2 linked regions of the Cricetulus griseus genome follow. The protein of the gene in region 1 purifies or fractionates together with the protein of each later gene. This does not show direct contact. Links are inferred from orthologs where the notes say so. Each region holds a gene or a part of one and is shown on either strand. Other genes may lie near its edges.

Region 1 (11,222 bases):
CTTTCATATGCTGACATTTTTAAGAGTCAAAAACAATAATTTTACAAAATACCACTCAGTTTGGATTTGTCTAATTGTATTTTCTCCTAAATAGTGTTCTTGTCATGAATAATCATGATTAAAATTAGATTAAATATTTAGGTAAGAATAATATGTAAGTAGCATGTCCTTTACAATGGGTGGCAGTAAGGACACAGGATGTCAGCTAATATACTGATGAGTTGGTATGGCAATATCACACAGTTTTCTGCTTTACTAGTTAATAAGAGTGGCTATAAAATATATAAACTTTGGGAGGCAGAGAATCACTGAAAACCATGGAGAACTGGGCAATGAATAAGGAAAATGATGAAGTGATACATTTCAGGGTAAAAGCTACATATGACATTCTCTAGATACTAAAATTCCAGAAACTGCTTATCATCAACAGAGAACATTTGTAACAAAATGTAAAAGGAAGCACTGAAGATATACCACACACTGAAAAAAAGAAGCTCATCTCAACTCAAGAGTGTGGTGGCAGCATAAGTGACTGGCACCCAGGTTCAAGCTTAGCCCCTCCTCACAGCGGAATTCTGGCAGCTGCTATTGTCCAGAGCACATTCGGTGCAGGGCAGTATTAGGATATATAATCAAATGCAAGGGTTATTAGCATTTTTTTCTCTCTAAAACCACATTTCATTCTTTAAAAAAAAAAAAAAAAAAAATTCTACCCTGGGACTGGATAAGAGCACTTGGTGCTTTTGCAGAGAACAGAGACTCAGTTCCTGGCCAGCACCCACATGGTAGCTCACAACCATCTGTAAATTCAATTCCAAAGGCCTCTTCTGATTTCAGTGGGCACCACATCCATGCAAATAAAATCAATAAATCTAAAAACAAACAAAACAACAACAATAGAAAACTATCCTAAAAGACCTTCAATACAAGAAGTAATTAGCATAAATACAGGAAGGTGTTCCTTGGATATGTTATAGGCCTGCTGGAAACCACGTGACTTAGACTCCAAAGGACTGTGGTTGATACTGACAGAATACCAAATTGGAGTGGGCAGCTTTAACTGTATGTTTACAGTCATGTTCACATGCTTAACTCTGAGTTTCAAAATTTCAGCAATTACTGAAATATAGGAATACCTCCTTAACATACTGATCACAAAGCAATAAATAACTCGACCCTCAACACTAATTTTACCACTGGGGCTGATGCACAAAAGTCTTCCCTTTTGTAACTATGTTCACTATTGTTTAACACTTTCTCTTTTTTTCACTGAAGCCAGGTAAGGAAAAATAATATGAGAGACTCTCTGAATTATAGGTTAAAAAAAATGTATTCAGAATAGAGTGAGCCTATATCAGGTTTTAGATTTTTTTCTCCACAATTCTTTACAAAAAACTGTGACAAGCACTTCTTTTCTGTAGGGCAGAGGCAGAGACAAGTAGGAGGTGGGGATTTATCTTGTTCTTTGCCTTTCTTCTGTATGTGAGAAGTGGTTCCCCAGAGGCTATCTACAAGAAACAACCTTGAGCAATAAGATAAAGGGCTCTCTCACGGGAGTGCACCTGTGCTCTACCTACCTACATACTAACACCAGTGATGAAGACTTAGCTGAAAGCAGATTGCTTTAATCCCTTTCCCACTGCCTGTCACTAGCAGCCAACCTCGGAGAGATTAACATAGAAAGAATTCTTTAATCTGTTAACCCCTTTCTAATTCCTAAACCCCTAAGTCATTTCCAGCAACCTTACTAAAGATCCCAAGAATGTTTCTTACCATTTTTGCTTCCCTTCAAAATCAAAGAAGTTTGGTTTAGGAATATTGCAGTTTCCAACTTTGACCTAAAAGAGGAAGGGGGGGGGGGGAAATAACAAGAATTTATTTTAGTTTTCTAAAGAATGTCTAAGGACTTTTTATTTTTCAAATTTATTATGTATATTTAGTAACTATAGATTAGAAAATATTTAAATATATATAGGATAACAATTTTAACATTCTCTGCAAAGCAGACAAAAGTTCAAATACTTCAAATTAAAAACACCAGCAGCACCAGGTGTGGTGATGTACACCTTTAGCAGGGGCAGGTGACTCTCCGTGCACTCAAAGCTCTCTATGAGTTCAGGGCCCTCCTATTCTACACAATGTACTCCAAGCCAGGCAGGACTACACAGTGAGACTCTGTCTAAATTATCTAATTACTTATATGAAAACACCACCTAGGCTTTCTATATGAGGTAATTGCTAAGTAATACTGTAACTTATAAAACAAGCTACAGATAAAATTATAGTCTTTACTGCCATTAAAATAGAATTTTATGCTGGGCAGTGGTGGCTCACCCCTTTAGTCAGCACTCCAGAGGCAGAGGCAGGTGGATCTCCCTGAGTTCAAGGCCAGCCAAGGCTACATGTCTTGAATCCGGCACCAAAATATAATTTTCTAAGTTGTAATTTATTCCTGTGTGTGGTGTGTGCGTGCCGGGGATTGGGAAGGTCAGAGGGCCGCTCTGTTGTGCAGGTTCTCTTTCGGGCTTCCACAACACATGCTTTACATGCATAACCATTTCACCGGTAATTAACAGAAGTTAAAGTTTGGTTTTTCAGAATTCATATATATTGGGTTTTTTTATGATCATTTTCACGACTCTACTAGCATTTTATCTCTCCTCAAATCTAGGATAAATTGTACTAAAAATGTACTATTTTAAAAGAGACACATTGGCCGGGCATGGTGGTGCATGCCTTTAATCCCAGCAATCTGTGAATTCAAGGCCAGCCTGGGCTACAGAGTGAGTTCCAGGACACCCAGGAATACACAGTGAAAACCTGTTTCAAAACAAACAAAACAAGAACCTAAATAAAAAGCACCACAGTAAATAAATTTAGACGTCAAAAGCTGGGGTGGGACTTAGGTGTGTCAACATAATATAAACCCCAAGTGGTCAATACTTACGTTGTTTTAACTCCTGAACCCCCTTACTTCTACCTCTCAAAGCTAGGGGGGAGGAGGGGTAATCCTGAGTGCTGGGATTAAAGGTGTGTGTGTGTGTGTGTGTGTGTGTGTGTGTGTGTGTGTGTGCACGCGCGCGCGTGCACCAGCCAAGATCTAAATTTCTAATCTATATATATGGCGGATAAAATCTACACATACTAAAGCTCTTTGGAGAGTTTAATTCTAAGAGGCAAAAGAAATCACAGGAACCACATAACCAGAGTTCGAGAACTCCTGTTTCAAGTTCTGCTTTCATGGCCAGAGAAGCTCAAAATCAGTATGCATGTTCTAGCTCAGGCAACGCAGGAGGAAGAACCTTTTGTTTTTTGACTATTTAATTTTATTCATTTTGTGTGTGTATGTGAGCTGGACACTTGCAAGCCACAGTGTGTATGAAAGTCAGAGGATAACTTTCAGGTCAGTTTTCTCTCTCTGACATGAGTTCCAGAGATTGGATTCAGGTTGTCCAGCCTGCTGGGCAAATGCTTTTATACACTAAGCTGTTTCACTGGCTGCCCTAATTCCTCATCTCCTACAACATTTCCGTATGAGTAGGCATGCCTGGTGCCTGCCAAGGCTGGAAGAGGTCATCAGATCTACTGGAAATGGAGTTACAGACAGGTGTAACCTGCCACTTGTGGGTCCTGGAGACTGAACCCAGATCTTATGCAAGAGTGACAGGTACTCGTAACCACTGGGCTAGCTTGCTAGCACCCCCACCTTTGTTTTTAAGCAAAATATTTTACTATAATTTTCAAAAAAATCCAGTCCTATAAGTAGGCAAAAGTTGCATGGCCTGAGTACTATAGTTGGTATTTATAGTCTGTCCCCTTTTGTAGATGTAGCAAAGTCCAGCAGTTGATATGATTTTAGAGATGCCAGACTGGCCAACTACTCAGATTAGCTAAATCAGCAACTGAGGTCAATGACATATCCTGCCTCAATGAATATGGTAGAGAGCAAGTGAAGAAGATATCAACTCGCCATCAATCTCTAGCCTCTACACACATATACATACATACACACACACACACACTCTACACATGTGAATACAGACACAAGAAAAAATAATAAATTATACCTTTAAAACATTTATTCACTTATTTAAAAATAAATCTAGTACATGGTAATGTAAATTTTTCATAAAAAATTACTACACTCTAACCTAAAAAGAGAAAAAAACCAGGAAAATTGCTCTGCCATTTTTAAAAATCTCTTCACTATTGGGCATACTTGTATTGTCATACTTCTGCATCCAATCTCTCACTGTACATTTGGTTTGGATGGAGCCCATGAAGCAGTTTCAGTTTCACATAAACACACTGTTAGAAATTACTATTTGTGTAGCACTCCCACCAACTATGGAGATTCTTTGATACAAAACTCAACAAATGGTAGTTTCTCCAAGATTAGTTATGATGTGGAATCTGAACTTACTGTGAATCTTTTATACAGTTATAGTGAAAACCACTCCCCTGGTTTTCATTTTGATTGGAACTTTTGCTCAAACTGATTTTTAACATTACTCCATGAAAAGATATTTAGAAAAGATTCCATTCAGTCATTCAGCATTTCCAAATGTTGACATTATACATGAGCGAAATTTCACACTCATTACTGCCAGCATCGCATGAAGAGTACTATATAAGCTGTCAAGCTCACTGTGGCAGACCCCCACTTTTTCCAAACTTCTACTTTTCATTTGACAACTCAAATATGATCACTGGCAACAAATATTTACAGCTGTTTTCCAGGCTCACTTCTTTCATTTTCAAGAAACTATCTGTCAAACACCCAAATCTAAACAATTTATATAGTTTTTGATAAGTAAAAATGAAGTCCCATGGAAAAAGGACATAGTTAAGTTTGTGACTCAATTACAGCTGTGATTTTCCCATTTCCTCAAAATCGCCAATATAATCTGGTAACAGAAGTGCTTGTGTGTTTCTCCCATCACACAATTGTTTGTTTGTTTTGGGATGGCGTCTCATTGTGTAGCTCTGGCTGACCTGGCACTTACTGTGTTTACCAGGCTGGTCTTGAACTCAACGGCCGATCACTGACTTTACCTCCCCAAAGCACAGCCTGCACAATCACACCCTGAATCACACAAAATGTTGAACAAGACTTGTATACCAATCTCTCTCGGGCCACACCATTATTAGCAAGATCACTCCATTCAGTGTATCTTTAAGAATACAGAACAGGTCAGAAAGATGGCTCCATAAGTAAAGATGCTTGCCACTCTGCCTGATGACCCCTATGATGGATGGAGAGAACCAAGTCCTGCAGGTTGTCCTCTGACCTCCACCTGAACACTGTCACACATGTGTACACACTAAAAACGTAATCAGAAATACATGAGGGTCCTCACACTTACCTAAAAAAGAGAATTCAGGAGAAATATATAACTATACCAAGAGGCATTTTCTCTATTCTAATAAAATAAGAGGTTTATTATCCAGAGCTTCATTTCTTTCAACGTTTCCAAGAGCTGGGGTTTTCCTGAGCTGCTATTTAAGTCATCATCAATTTTTCACATTTCCCATCTAGATTCCTTAAGTAACCCTGTAAGCCTCTGGAGGGCAGTGTCATGTTCTTTCATCTTTGCATTCTCTGTAGACATGACATCTAGTGTTAGGCTGAACTGTATCTGTTAACTGTGATAAAGCAATTGTTTTTTCCTTTTGGTACCTAACTTTGAATGATAAATTAGTTTTACATATGTAACTCATACATTTCCTTATCGTTAGGTAAAGTTCAGTCTTACGAGTCAGAAACTACTTTAATTCTAATATATCCATGTGACCTTCTGAGCTGCCTACTCCCCTGGGTTTTTTGTTGTGTATTTGTAAAAGAAAGTGATGATGGAAGCTGAGTCAAGAGTTCATCACCTGCTCCTCATGTTGCCAACATGGAACCCTATACAAAAAGAGGTGTGGGGGGGGCTATATCTAACAGAACCAAATTCAGCCAAAAGCATGTCAACTATATTTAGAGTTTCTAAAAATCGCAATAGTAACAGTGTATTGTGTTTTATATAGAGAAATATTCTCTTAAACTTCAAATTTATTGTTAACATTACCATATTTTCTATCACATGTTCTTTTGGCAGCAACGAATGACAAAATTTTATTTTGTCATTCTCGTTTTTGTAAAGGTTCAGGCGCAAGGCCACTAATGAGAGAACAGAAATAGTGTCAGTGTCCAGTCAAGTAAATAATCATTCGTAAGATAGCAGGGGGATTTTTCCATGTCCGGAATGATGCTATTCTCTACCGTCAACAAACACACACAAAAGAAAAAGAAAAAAAAAAAAACTTAACACATACACACACACACTTCATTACATTCCACCATTAGCCCGGCACACCTCTGTAAGTTTTTGGAGGAAGACGCCCGTGCCCTGTCTTATCCACCCATCTTTTACCTGCTTGTACCTGGCATACAGGTACAAGAGCTGCTCCCTGCTGGCCACATGAACCAGGCCTTGGACGTGTGCAGCAGCCTTCTCAAACAGCTCGTCCAGGTTCCGGGATGCCTCGGTCTCAGGGTTCTGGGAGGATTCCATCTCACCGGAGTCGTCCCCGGAGCTCAGTTCCCCACCGCTGTCGCCTGTGGTGGCCCCTGCGGGTAGGAACGGGGTGGCCATGTCCACTAGCTCGATATGCTCTGTCCTCACTGGTGTGACGCCTCCTCCCGGGCCTGGACCACTAGTCTGGTGCGAAGCCCGGGCAGCAGTGGGACGCCGCTAGCTGTGTGGCTTTCTCAGGTGACTCTGCCACTTGACCTGCCCGGGGGCGTAGGGCCGCCTCTGCGAAGCCTGGCAGCTCTCCCCGGGCCGCCCCGTCCTCCTTCGGCTTTCCTCGGTCGGACCGAGTGCCTGGCCTCGCCCGGGTCGCTCCAACGGCGCGGGGGTCTGGAGGCCGCTAGGCAGGGAGGTGATGGGAAGCCACCGGCGCGCGGCGGACCACTGCCACCGGAGCTAGGTGGGGAAGCGCGGGGCGCGAGCTCGGCGGGACGCGCTCCGGAGCACGCGCCCGTGGCTACGCCGCCCCGCCTGCCCCGCGTGCGAGCCCACGCCCTTCCCCGAACGGGGTCGTGGGTTAGGGCGGAGAGAGTTGGAGAGACCGGCCTCAGTTATGGAGGAGTTTGCTCGTGGTTTGAGGCTAATTCGGAGTCACAAACTCCGGAACTCATCCGGATAGGCCCCCGGGGAAGGGGAAGGAGGCGGTCCATTCGGTGGTGTAGCTGCAGAATCGGCGTCGCGGGAAACAGGGAGTTGAGGAGGAAAGTTCCGCTTTCTCCTAACCACCCAAGTCAGTGCTACCCAGGCTCCCACAGACCCTCTCTTGCCTGTTCCTCGATATCTTGGCTGTGTTTTGAATGGCAAGTGAACGGCTGATGGAGCCTTCACTGCCCCACCGTGTGTCTAAATAGCCAAATGACCTTCCTCAATGTTTTGTTTTCCATACCTGCTGATCCCTCATTTCCCAGGGCTCTGAGAGAAGGTTTCACCAGGCCCCCAGACCCACCTTCTTTAGCATCATCTCATCTCATACTTGGCTGATACATTTCTCATACATCTTAAAATCAAATCCATAGCTCTGCCCTAAAGGAACAGAGCTTGTCTGTGTTCAGCACACTGTCAAAAATGAAAACTACACGGACACACAAACTTCATTACACCTACCCACCAACCATGCATATTTGCCACATTAGCTACCGGCTTTTAAGAAAGCCCCATTTTGGTATTCTCTCATGCAGGGACTTGAGAACCTCACTGAATGCTCTCAGTTGTTGGGGTGACTCATATAAGTGTGTGTGTGTGTGTGTGTGTGTGTGTGTGTGTGTGTGTGTGTAGAAGGTGGTAATAATAGTAAAAACTTCCACCAACCCAAAAACGGAATGTCATCAGATACTTTCTTGGATATAGAAAAGCTTCTCCCATCTCATTTTTACTGCTTTTCTGATGTACCCACCAAAGTATTTTAAGCTTTCTTTGATTTATGACTTTCTTTATTCTGTAAAACTATGAAACTACTTCCACATTGGAACATGGAATTTGGGGTAACCTAAATTTGTGTTCCCCAGGCAATGGTCACTCAAGGTGACTCCAGAATAAACTTTACCATTTAAGATGAGTGTGGTAGGTTAAATAATATGAGCCCATAGGCTCATATATTTGAATGCTTCCTTATCAGGGAGTAGCACTACTTAAAAAGGATTAAGAGGTGTGACCTCCTTAGGGTAGACACTGCCTTGATGGAGGAAGTCAGTCACTGGGGCTGGGTTTTAAGGTTTCAAAGGCCCAAGCCCAAACCCAGTGACTTTCTCTTTCTTCTGCATACCAATCCAGATCCAGATGTAGAAACTCACAATTATTTCTCCAGCACCTTGTCTGCCTGCTTGCTGCCAAGCTTCCTGCCATGATGATAATGGACTAAACCTCTGAAACCTTAAGCAAGCCCCCGTTAAGTGTCGTTGCCATGGTGTCACTTCACAACAACAGAACATTGACTAAGACAATGAGGGATGTGGTTTTTGCATCATCAGTGGCTAGTATGTTCTAAATGTTGTAAATGCACACATACTCATTTATCACTAAAACCACCAATAAGCATAAGGCTAATTACAAAGAATGGTTATTGGCCACTTGGGATTAAGCTTTAAAAGAAGTTTGGACAGGATGAGCAAACAATGAGAAACAGAAGGTAAAAGGCCTGGATCTGAATTCAACAAACTTTTTTTTTTGAGAATAGAGAATCAATGGTTCCACCATTAGTCCCTCCTCAAAAGGAATAACAAGGACAAATGTACATGTTTAAAATATGATAACTGGAAGAAATATGCCAGTGGAGTACGGCTGAAATCCAGCTCCAGTGGGGCTGAGGTCCTAAAGAGGAGGCCTGGAGTTAGTGAGGGGGAGGGAGACTGACAAGATCTAAGGGTGAACTGGGATGACTACCATTTTATTGAAAAAAGGCTACACCTTTTTATACTTATAAGTGTACAATCGTTTAGCCACAGGCAAGTTTGAAAGCAGACTCAATGATTCCGGGATGAAAGTGGCCATCAACTTTATCACAGCATTTTTCCAAAGACAAAAATGATACATTCGGCAAGTGTCTAAATGCCTATTGTTCTCTAAGGTTCAGTAACTCCATCAGGCATCCTTTTACATCAGCGGAAGGGCCACCAGTTCCTCTTGTTAGAGATAAGGAAAATGATTCCTTTACCAAGCAGGAACTTTCCTCAAGCCCCTGAGGAATGGAGGTTCTTATCCAAATGCCTGATCTTGGGAAAAGGACTTCCTTTGGGGGGCATACACTCCACTACAATAGAAGAGCATTCTTCAAGGGGAATGATGTAGCAAAAGCACTGTACTGTTTTCTAATTGTGTCTCAGTCTTACTATATGGGCCTGACCCCTGATAGGCTCCCAAAAGGGAAGGTCCTGACTGATGTCTTACTCTTTTTCCATTTTACCATATCATTCTGATTTCTCTACACTTTTTAACTGAACTGTTGCCAGGCTCTGGATCTGGACTTTTATGCATTTCATACTTGGGATCAGGTGTGTCCAGCTAGTAATATGTGTTGTTAGTTATTTGTTTTAGGCTCAGCTAAATCTGAACATATCAAAGAAGTTGATCCTGTACGAGATGACTGACAGTTAAACTTGCCTATCTTATATGATTAGGATTTTATAGCTTTATCCTTGCTAAGGTTATACTTAAAAAAATAACAATTTCTGAGTGGAAACTCTTTTAATATCAAGATAAGACTTAACTCATAAACACAGTCCACAAAGAGACTGGGATCTTCCCTGATCCTTTTATACTACAACATTATAGAACACAACAGTTTTCTGTATGACTTAGTTTACCAAACTAGCTACAGCTTAACAATGTTAAGCAAGGAAGTTAGGCATACATTCCTAAGTCAGTCTCTGTTGCCTAAATAGACCTTACGTAAGGAGAGACCTTTTGCAAGACTGCTTAGATCATGGTCTTGCTTCCTCATGAGATGGGTGTATCTCGGACAGGCAAAGGCCCAGAGGCCACAGACCTGGAATGTCTTTTGCTTCTGCTGTGCCTTTACATGTTTGTTGCTGCTATCTTTCTCTGGTATCTGGAATGATGTGAATGGATGTGGGGAGACCCCCCACTGTCTATAATGTAGTGTATTTATCTCATGGAAACATCCCAATCTACTGGGAACTTTTCTCTGTGGATTATCATAAAGATGATTTCTCCCTAAACTGTACTGTCTAGTCTAATTGATAATAATAATGTTAGCTTATATAGTTTTGATAAATGAAAATAAACACAAGGAAATGCCACACAGCTGGGGCCTAAGAGTTTCATCTAAGGAGCCGCATAGGCCATAGCTCAAGTTAATGATTAAGAAAAACAGTTGTGTCCAGGAGCCAATCTGGCTCAAATTCCTTTAATCTTAATGCTGAAAGACACTGTCACAGGTTTCAGTGTGCATCATTAGCCGAAATAGAAACAAAGCTTTAAAATAACTTGAGGTTAGATCAGATGCTTTGATAACAGTTTTAAGATGAAAAATCCTAGAAAACAATCTAAAGTTCACAAGGACACAAAGCTGATGTAAAAAAATATAAAGCAGCAAGGCTGGAGAGATGACTCAGAGGTTAAGAGCACTGACTGCTCTTCCAGAGGACCAGAGTTCAATTCCCAGCAACCACATGGTGGCTCACAACCATCTGTAATGAGATCTGGTGCCCTCTTCTGGTGTACAAGCATACATGCAGATAACTGTATACATAATAAATAAATAAAATCTTTAAAAAATATATAAAGCCGCCCAATTGTTACTAGCTAATGTACTTTCCTTGCTAGGGTTGGTTGACCAGAGGTTATGATTCCTTGTACCCATTTCTGCTCTCAATCTCCTGATATAAAAATCTATTGATGAGTGGGTATGCACCCTAAATGTTAAGTAGAGTTGACTGATTCTTTTTCATATATAAAAGTTTAGATTTGTGATTCCCTTAAGATTCCTTATAAGATTCCCATTCAAGATAAGCAATAAAAAGTAATTGACTTTTTCTTTGTAACTGCAAAATGCAGCCTGCCAGTAAAAGACCTGACTAAGAATATCTTGCTTGCCCACATAGTTAATGTATAACAAGTTGCTTGGTTATGAATGTACATGGGAATGTTCTTGGGATAATTTGTTTTTTACCTGGAAAACATCAAATATTT
Region 2 (10,613 bases), on another chromosome or scaffold:
GAAATCTGGTTTCTTGACGGGCGTTGGTGGCGCAAGCCTTTAATCCCAGTACTCGGGAGGAAGAGGTAGGTGGATTTCTGTGAGTTCAAGGCCAGCCTGGTCTACAAGAGCGAGCGCCAGGATAGGCTCCAAAGGCACAGTGAAACCCTGTCTCTAAAAAACCAAAAAAAAAAAAAAAAAAAAAAAAAAAAGAAAAGAAAAAAAAGTCTGGTCTACAGAGTGAATTCCAGAATAGCCAGGGCTACACAGAGAAACCCTGTTCAAACAAACAAACAAACAAACAAACAAACAAACATACATACATACATACATACATCTGGCTTCTCTCACAAGCTCCATCAGCACACCCCCTGCTGTCTTGGCAGAAGGGAGTAGACACTGAAGAGTTTACCACACTGGTCTCTAGAGTGTGGGAAACACAGATGAGATCAAGGTCCAGTAAGGCAATCCATTTTCTATCTATGCTTCTTCACCTAGGCTAACATCAGAGAGCAGTAGTGTTCTCTGAGCAGGCAGCAGGAGAATCCTGGTAGACAGTAAGACATAGAACCTGGCGACTAGGCGCTGGTGAATGGAAACCTCCCGCACATCCCTGTCCCTGCCCGCCACCCCAGAGCACCACTGGCCTCTGGCAGTCGGTAGAGCTTCATGGTGCGCTGCATGGTCATATTTCTGCTCAGGTGAGAGAACTTCACTTCAATCAGCTTCCGAGGGTTTAGAGACCGATGCCAGTACCTGTAGGGACACAAATGTCCTTACCTCAGGAGGCTCTGGCCAGTCGTACTCATTAAGAGGAGAAGAGCAGGGCACCAGATGGCCAGCAGGTGTCATGAGCGACTCATCAAGCCCCTTCTGGAGGTACGGGCTCAGCCTCCTCCAGTGGGTCAGAGCTGCCATGGGCCCTCCGACACTTTTTCCTCCCTATTTTTCTATTTCAAAAGCCATTCTTTTGTTAGAGTAGCTGTCTGGGGAGCACAATCGGGTCCTGGAACCAGGTCAGTGGCAGATTGACAAGGGTGCCCAGAAGACGGGCAGACACGCTTACCCGCCTCTCTTTCCTCTTCTGTATTCACCTCGAGTTATTATTTTTGCAGTTCTCTAGGCAGAGATTATTCAATCGTTTCAAACACCTTTCCAAGGTGAAGGCTGTCCTTAGATCACACAGGATCAGACAAGTTCTCTTTGATCCACAAAATATTCATTAATGAAGCTAAGCCAAATACTTAAAACTAAAAGGCATTTTCTATAAAAACCCAAATTTGGCCTCATACTTTAAACAAAACCCTCATCTGTAACTGGTGGTAATCCGATTTGAGAATCTCTTTGCAACTGGTCTGAATCACACCTCCTTCACATTCCCAAAATGTTCTCCACCTGGCTGCGGCCAGCTATCCAGCCATCCACACCCCACTGAGCAGGCACAGAGCAGGGCAATGCTATGTCTTAGTGACATTACTCCTCAGCTATAGCCAGCACTCCCAAGACCCACAGGAAGACATTTTTACCTGCAGGTGCCAACAGGCTTTGGCAATACCACGCCAGCAGTGTAAACAGCTTGGAAAATGCCCTCCAGGTGAACCCTCCGGGTTATCTCTCGGATCAAAACTGGAGCCACCCTCTTGGAGCGCAGCTTCTTGTGGACACACAGGAAGTTAATCTCCACCATCTTCTTCTCTCTTGAGAGGGAGGCAAAATGCTGACGGCTAAGGTTTTTCCCACACAACAGGAATGGAATCTCTTCAAATTAGGCAGTGCTACACCTGAAGGTGTGCATTTTGCTGTCATTGTCACTACTGGGGATCCCACCCACTACCAGTTTCTACTTGGCAAGCTTGCCTCACATTCTCTACTCAAAAGGCAAGTGGGAAGCCTGTGAATACTTTATCTGCAGGCACCACTAGCACCACCCTGGGGAGTCCCTGTGAGTAGGCTGAGGAGTACCACCTGCAGCAGACGATGAAGCAGCATTAAGAAACCCCAGAGTAAATCAAGGCTAGTATGGATCTGAGACAAGCTTGATCTTGAACTCGATAAGTAACTCAGGCCAGCCCTGAGCCATCGACCCTCCTTCTTCTACCTCCCAAGATGTAGCTTATATTATAGGTGTGAACCACTACTGACAGATAATCTAAGATTTTGATACCCACAAGAATCTACAGCCTGTGGATCCAGAAGACTGCAGCAGATGACTGTGAGACCATCTGAATCGGTGCCACACTAGCTCCTGCCCATTTCTGAAGCTGCTCAATTGTATAACCATGTGACTGGGGCAGGAATGCAGAAGTGGATGGCCTCAGCAAAGTCACAGACAAAGCAACCAGCTACAATTCAGGGACAGTCTCACCATGCAGCCTTGGCTGGCCTGAAACTTGCTATGTAGATCATCAGGCTGGCCTTGAACTCAGAGATCCACCCGCCTCTGCCACCCAAGTGCTGTGATTAAAGGGCCATGATAAATGTCAAAGCACGTGGTTCCCATGCTGAGTTTTACTCCCAGCATACAGATGCCTCCATCTTCCTTTCACAGGTAAACACACAGCTTTCTTCTTCCCTTTCCTCCCAGACCAGCAAGATGGTGGTGACAAGTGCTGATGCTTACGTGTCATAGATGTGGATGTTTGCTGGGATGGCACTGATGAACCCAACCAGTTTCCGACTTGAGACCACTCGAACCCCGCAGTGCCACTGTGGGAGCCAGCCAGGTGGCCGGAGAGCCCTGGAACAAAGATGAGGACAGGAGCTGTGGTACCACTTACAGCAGGCTGGAGAGCTGCTTAGGCTCCAGAGCCATGCTGGGTCCTGAGCTGGCATTACCACTTGCCTGGGCGTTAACAACCACGTTCTCTTTAGGACGAAGGCGTCCTAGACTCCGACAGAATCAAGTCACAGGCATTTCTCGAAAGCATCTTTGTCCCGGTCATGCTGGAGATTGTTCCCAGGCTTGCACATATATTCCAACAAGTTCTCTGGCACTAAGCCACACAGCCCAGTCTTATTTGTTGTTGTTTTTTGAAACAGGCTCTCTATGCACCCTAGGCTGTCTTCAAACTTGTGACCATCCTGGTTCTGCCATAAGTACACCCCTTTGCTAGGGTCTGTGTTTTTGTTTTTCGAAACAGGGTCTTACTATGTAGCTTCAACTGCCCTGAAACCCTCTATGTACAACAGACTGGCTTTGAATGCAGAGATTTGCCTGTCTTTATCTCCTAAGTGCTGGTTTTACAGGCATGTGCCAACATGGCTAGTGTTTATGTTCATCTCACAGCTTGAACTAGAGGACTGTCATTTGGAGGCCAGTGGTCTTTTGGTTAGGGACTAACTTGGAAACCCTGGGGTTTGCCATCTGCCCCTTGGAGCATCTCTTCTCTTTCTGCTTCCCCTATCCATTGGGGTGAACCCATGCCACTTCAGCCTCATGCCTCTATCTTCTTAGATGCTAAATGTAGCCCAGGGTAGTAGATGGCTCATGCAGGGTAGGCCATTTTCTATAACTGAGCATGCTCATTAACTGGATAGTAAAGAACTTTTCTTTCAAATCTTAGTAGGTCTCATCTGCCCTTCTCCCCTTGAAAAGGTCACCATATGGTAGATGATCTTTGTTTCTGGGCACCAACTCTGCATGTCTCCCTCAGCCCATCTATTTTAAGGAAGGTTTCAGCTCTAAGCACCACTTAAAGCAAGTCTCCAGATGCACGAACTCAAGCACAAAGCAGTTTGCCACTCAAAGGCTGGCTCTTGGGAAGGAGGAGAACTCCATGTTCCTTTGTGGTTCTGCTATCTGCTTTGCCCTTAAAACTGGAAGAGCTCTTGGAGCCGGAGAGCAGGCCTTTACCAGACATTAAGCCCTTGGGATCCTTTGATTTCCTAGCCTCCAGATCCATGAGAAGTAAATTTTCACTGTTTACAAGTTAAATAAAATTATATTAAAGACACCCTTACAACTTACCACAAAAGAAACTCTGGGGAATAATCAAATCGGAACATGTTGTCATCGTCTTCCACGTAGTTCTCATTCAGGAGGGTGTACAGTTCTTTTAGCTGCAGAGAAATGAGTAGCTCACTGAAGTGCTCTGCCCAGTGGAAGCCAACTCCAATGCCCTGTGGCTCTGAGCTTCACAGAAGGACAACGCTAATTGCCAGAACTACCTCAAATCTCTCAAACCTGTGTCATCCCAGGCATGGCAAGGATTCTTTTAGAACAAGTACCCATGGGTGTGATAAGAAACAGAAGCACTAGGGGCAGAGCCACAGACTTCAGTACACAGTGGTGTCTAGAATATTGTCTCTCCACCAGAGGAAGCTTCCCAAATTCTGTAAACATGATTTTGGGGGCTTGTCAAACTATTTACTCCCAGGACATCACTGCCATACAAATAAATAAATAAATAAATAAATAAAAGTTTGGTTTTTATCATCTAGCCCAAAAGACTTTTGTCCTTTTTCTGCCTTTAAGCTGTCTCCCTCAGCTGGCCCAAGTAAGTAAAAACACTTATTGTGCAAGTCTGTCTGAGTTCAATCCCTAGGCTCACATAAAAGTAGGAGGGGAACAACTTTATACAGTTGTCCTCTGACCTCCACAGGTACTGTGGCACACGCACTGTCTATCCTTCCCCATCTCCCATCCTCCAGCCCTCACCCCTGCTCTCCCCAAACAGATCTGTTCCTAAACCAGGTATGGTGGAGAGTAAGCCAAGAGGAACCCTAGAGCCCTGAGTTGAGGGCAGAGGGCTCTTACACAGAAAGAAATTCCTAGGTCTCTGGTGTCAAAACAAGCGGATAACAGTGTGTTGGTGCAGACTTACAATCTCATCACTCAGGGGCCTGAAGCAGGAGGCCTGACTCAAAGTCAAGGCCAGCTAGGGTTATGTAATAAGACTGTCTCAAAGGTAAAAAAGAAAGTGGCTGGGGGAGTACTTCAGTTGGTAGACTATTTGTCTACTAGTCCAGTGTGCAGTTTTGTTCTTTTGTTTCACTTACAAGAAGAGTAGATGAAAACAAAAACCACAAGAGTCAACAAACCCATGTGGAGTTTATTAATGGGACAAGGAAGAAGAAAAGGGGGAAGGGGGAGGGAGAGAAAGAAAGAAGAGAAGGGAGAGAAAGGGGAGAAAGGAGAGAGGGGGCGGGGCGAAGGGAGAGGGAAAGAACATGTGGAGCTGCCCGCTTAAAAGGAGAAGCTTGCACATGTGTACTGAGTCCTTACGCAGCCCCGTGACATAGCCATGACATGGCCACACACACAGGGCCCTTTGAGCTGCCTAAGTGTCTGCTTGAATGCCAATTTGTGTGTCCCACCCATTGTCGGGGGTGAGGTCAGCATAATGCCGGGTTCCAACACACAGAGCTCTGGGTTCGGTCCCTAGCACCACATAATCAGGTGTTGGTGACACATACCTGCGATACCAACAGATATCTACCTAAAAAAAAAAACCCAAAACAAATGCTGGGCACAGTGTTACATGACTGTAATCCCAGCACTTGGAAGGGAGATGGAGCTCCATGAGTTCAAGGCTACCTTGGTCATCTAGCAAGTTCCAGGCCTGCTAGGGCCATATAGTTAGACTCTATCTCAAAAACAAAACAAGAACCAAGCATATAGATGCACACGTGCACAGGCACATTCACGGCTATGCACCCCACGCCCCCATATCAAGAATAAAAATAAGGAACTGGAGAGATGTCAGTGTTTAAGAGGATTTGCCGCTCTTCCAGAGGAACCAAGCTCATGCCTCAATACCCAGATCAGGCAGCTCACAACCATCTGTAACTGTAGCTTCAGGAGTTACACCGCTTCTGACCTCTGTGGGTCCCCCAAACTCACATGCACTGTGCTGGCTGATTTTTGTCAACTTAACACAATCTGGAAGAGGGTGTATTAATTGAGAAAATGCCTCCACAAGAGTAGCCTGCTTTGGCCAGGCTGTGGTGGTGCACACCTTTAATCCCAGCACTTGGGAGGCAGAGAGGCAGGTGGATCTCTGTGAGTTCAAGGCCAACATGGTCTACAGAATGAGTTCCACACTAGACAGGGCTACATAATAGAGACCCTGTCTCAAAAATCAAAGCAAAACAAAAATAAAACAAATCCAATGACAAAGGAATAAAAGGGGAAAAAAAAAAAAAAAGACTCTACAATGGGGAACTTGAGAAGACAGCTTTCAGCCTTACAAGTATGAGATACTAACTACTAGTGTGTAGAGTCTGGGCACACCCAGAAAGTACCAGATGGGGTCTGTTCAGCCCTCTGTGGCTCAGCTCCTAAGAGTCCCACCTGCAAATCAGGCCTACTCACCACACCACGGTCTCCCAGGTCCAAGGCATCCCAAGTGAAGCCCTGGGGTAGGGTATAGGGCTCCTGGCGAATGTTGTCCTTGTCAGGTTCCACTGGCCCATGGGTATTTACCACTTCACCTAGAAAAGCACAGCCAGGAGTCAACAGGTGGCTCCACCAGGGGGAAGGGAGAGCTTGTTTAAAACATTCACTGGAGGCAGCGAGGCAGGCGGATCTCTGTGAGTTCAAGGCCAACATGGTCTACAGGCTGGGGATGAGGTTCAGCAGCTAGAGTGGTCATCTTGCTTGTGTACTGAGTACTATAGGCTCAGTACTATATATCCTGGGCACAGTGGTGCACGACTACAGCCAGCACTTAGCAGCGGCAGAAGGATCAGAACTCTGAGGTCATCTACCACTACACAGTGAGTTTAAGGCCAGTCTGAGCTACATGAGACCCTACCTGAGGAAAAACACATTATCAGAGCTAATTTCCCCTGGCCCTAGGAACCCCATAGCTGAAGAACATTCCATGCTTGGCAACTGAAAACTCTCTCTCCAGTTACCTTTGGTCCCTGGTTGAGGGCCAATGCACAACAAAACCTCAGAAGAATATCTGGGATCCAAGGTGGCTCATTTTTGGAAATCCTTGTACATCTCCCTTGGGCTCCTGAGTGACAAACATTCATCATAGCTAACCTGGCTTCCTGCCTCCTGGCTGGTGCAGTGTCGTTATGTTCTAGCCTACACACCCTTCCCTAACCTGAGGAGATCTGTAAGGAGCTGCAACAAGGCTGCCTTTGTGTCAAGAACAACAGAATACTGGGCTCACTCCTCAGTCAGATGACGGCTTCTAGCAGCCAGGCTCTCTTGGCCTTCCAGCTTCAGCTTCCAGCCCTGTGGGCCAGCTAACTGCCTGCCTCTGCCAGCTCAGGGCCTCTGTGCTTTGAGCACTACAAATGCCTTGGGGCTGACTCACAGGTCTGCAGATGCTGCCGGGAAGTCTCCCTCTGGCACCACCCCCCCTCCTCTGTGGGAGAGCTTGGGAGGCTGAGATGAAGGGGAGAAACTAAAACTAGATGAGACTAGAGAGGAAAGCCAGGCAGTCAAGCAGTTAAGGTTTTGTTTGTTTAAGACAGGAGAGTGCTAAGTAGCCCAGGCTGGCCTTGTGCTCACAGCACTCCTCCTGTCTTAGCCTCCTAATGTGGGATTACAGGTATGTACCAGTATGTACAAGCTCGTTCCTATTGTCCTCAGTCACTTACTTCCTAGTTAGAGGTGCCATGCCGCCCATGTCTGCTGTGCAGAGCCGAGAGCCGTAAACAGCAGAGGACAGACTATGAGCTGCAGAGGGACAGCTAAAGTCAAGGGGAAGAAAAAAAAAAAAAAAACCAAAACAAAACAAAAACCCTGTTCCCCTCAACAAGGAAAGAATGACATGATTGGAAGAGGGACTGAAGGCTCATGGAGAAGGCTCATGGAGGGCACCTAACAACTGTTCCAGACCAAAGCTTCTGAAACGAAGTCCTAACCCAGGCCTGCATATGTGAAAGTGGGGCTGTCAAGAAAGTTCTGGTAACAGTAAATGGTTTTGGACACACATATCAAAAATGAATTGAAAATTAAGCATGGCAGTGTTATGTAGCCTTGGCTCTGAACACACATGGGCAAGCTGCACTGTGCGTGCTAACATGCTATGAAACATCAATGAACTCTGTCTTAGAAACCTTGGCTCAGATCAAGACTATTGAACGGAGGCTGGAAGACGGTGAGGTGACTAACAGCACTGCTGCTCTTCCAGAAGACTCTAGCGCAGTTCCCAGCACCCATTTCAGGTGGCTCATGATGGACCTGAAAGGCCAGTTCTAGCAGGTGTGGACATCGCATCCTCTTCTAGCCTCTGAGGGCAAACACATACCCAACACACACAGGCATAGGCACCTAAAATTTTAAGCTTATTTATTTCATTTTATTCATTTGTTTTTGTGTGTGTATGAGTGTTTTGCCTGTTTGTATGTATATGCATCATACGTGTGCTTGGTGTCCATGGAGGTCAGAAGAAGGGGTCAAGTGCCCTGGAACTTGAGTTATGGATGGTTGGAAGCCATCACACAGGTGCTGGAAACTGAACCTGAGTCCTCTGCAAGAACAAGTGTTCGTAACCATGAGCTATCTATTCAACAAATTCTGTTTACAGTAAAGGGATATGTCCATGTGCAGCAGGATTTAGCTCTTTATGTGAAAATAAAAAGGCATATCTGGCCAGGCAGTGGTGGCTCACACCTTTAATCCCAGCACTCTGGAGGCAGAGGCAGGTGGATCTCTGTGAGTTCAAGGCCAGCCTGGTCTACAAAGTGAATTCCAGGACAGCCAAAGCAATACAGAGAAACCCTGTCTTGAAAAATGACAAAAAAACAACAAAAACATTTCATTAATATGCAAATGTCTTTTTGAGACATGATCGTATGTAGTTTTCAGTCTGACCTCATGTTCACTGCATATTGGAAGCTATCTTTGAACTCTTGATTTGTTTTAATTTTCAATAATATTTTTATTAGACAATTTCATACAATATGTCTAAACATATTCACCTCCAAACTTCTCCTATTATCACTTTCGCAACCCTTCTCACCTAACTAACTTGAGATTTTATTTTTCTTTCTCCATTGAGTCCAGATTTTGTTGCCCAGCTAGAGGTGGGAGTGGGGCCCACAGTGGTGTGTAGTTAACCTGTCAAGGGTCATATCATTAAAGAAAACCCACTCTGCCTCTCCCAGTGGCTATCAAATGCTAACAGCTCCTCAGCTGGTGGTGGGGCTTCGTGTCCACCTTCCCTGCACAATGCTGAGGTTTTGTCTGAAGAGCTCGTGCAGGCCTTGTGCTTGCTGTCACGACCTCTGTGCCCTGTAGCGCCTGACGAACACTTTCCTTGAGGCTACTACACCTCTCACAATTGTTCTCCCTCCTCCTCTGGGAGAGGAGTGACAGGAGTGAGGGTCCACTTAGTGCTGAGCACCCTGCAGTCCCTTACTTGCCGCACACTGACCAGGTCTCGACTGTGTAAATTACCTCTTACTACAAAGAGAGGCTTCTCTAATGAGGGTATTTTTATTAAAGATACATTTTTTTAAATGATTTATTTATTTATTATGTGTACAGTGTTCTGCCTACATATATGCCTGCAGGCCAGAAGAGGGCACCAGATCTCATTACGGATGCCTGTGAGTTAATATATGGGTGCTGGGAATTGAACTCAGGACCTCTGGAAGAGCAGCCAGCGCTCTTAACCACTGAGCCATCTCTCTAGCCCAAAGATACATATTTTTTTATGTGTATGACACACGTGTGTATACCCTAAGAGGTCCTAAGAGGGCAGTGGATACCCTGGAGCTGCAATTCAGGACGTTATGATTTGTCTCAATGTAGACAATCATCTATAATGACTAAGCCATCTCGCCAGTGTTTTGGGGCTGGAGAGAGGGCTCAAAAATTCAGAGCACATGCTGCAGAGGACAAAATTCATCCCCAGGCAGCCCTGTATTGGATGGCTCACAACTGCCTGTTGTTCTGTGTTTATATTCACAGACAGACACACAGGTCATTTCAAAAAATGATAAATCTTTTTAAAAACATAAAAAGAAAACACACCAGGAGCTGTGCAGTAGTGGTGTATTCCTTTAATCCCAACATTCGGGAGGCAGGGGCACGTGATTCTCTGTGAGTTCAAGGCCAGCCTGGGTTCTAAGAGTTCCAGGACAACTAGGACTACTCAGAGAAACACACCCCCCCCCTCAAAAAAGGAAAACAAACAACACACACTTTACTTCCTCAGCTACATACACATGAAACAAGAATTGGGTCCCAAGAGTCCCAGAAACAAAACCAAAACCTCCACCAGAAGCTCCAAGGGCAGTGACCAAGGTCAGCTGTGATGATTCAGGTCTAGCAGACATCTCTAACTCCAGCAGGTGCAATTACCTCTGGAATACATATGGGGTTTCCGTCTGTCTAATCCCTTTACAAGTTTATTACATCATTTTACAGTTAAGTGTTATTTTAAGACAGGGCCTCACTATGTAGCTCTGGATGGACTGAAACTACCCTTGTAGATCAGGCTGGCCTCAAACACAGAGATCCACTTGTTTCTGCCTCCAGGTGCTACAAGAAATAAAGGTGTATGCCACCACTGGCTTCACTGTGGCTTTTTAAGTGTACCTGATGAAAAATATAGTATTCTTGGAGTTGAGTCCTGACTATTACTTGAACTTAGTAAGCTTGAATTAGCTGAAAGCGGAGGATTCTGGGGACTCTTCCCATTCCAGAGTTCACATTCGTCCACACA

The links.
Region 2: the proteins of Acbd6 (region 1) and Nmt1 purify together in Homo sapiens (co-immunoprecipitation; 3 studies listed by BioGRID and IntAct, with this or other methods). This does not show direct contact. The link is inferred for Cricetulus griseus from reciprocal best matches to the Homo sapiens genes ACBD6 and NMT1.

Annotation. Positions count from the first base shown.
Region 1 is NC_048598.1:36,205,727-36,216,948, forward strand, and holds the start of Acbd6 (acyl-CoA-binding domain-containing protein 6), read right to left. Parts: upstream 7,228-11,222; 5' UTR 6,639-7,227; coding exon 6,417-6,638; intron 1,839-6,416; coding exon 1,774-1,838; intron 1-1,773. UniProt on the Homo sapiens protein: Binds long-chain acyl-coenzyme A molecules with a strong preference for unsaturated C18:1-CoA, lower affinity for unsaturated C20:4-CoA, and very weak affinity for saturated C16:0-CoA. Does not bind fatty acids. Plays a role in protein N-myristoylation.
Region 2 is NC_048600.1:115,074,408-115,085,020, forward strand, and holds part of Nmt1 (glycylpeptide N-tetradecanoyltransferase 1), read right to left. Parts: intron 6,412-10,613; coding exon 6,293-6,411; intron 4,039-6,292; coding exon 3,947-4,038; intron 2,717-3,946; coding exon 2,600-2,716; intron 1,677-2,599; coding exon 1,506-1,676; intron 736-1,505; coding exon 627-735; intron 1-626.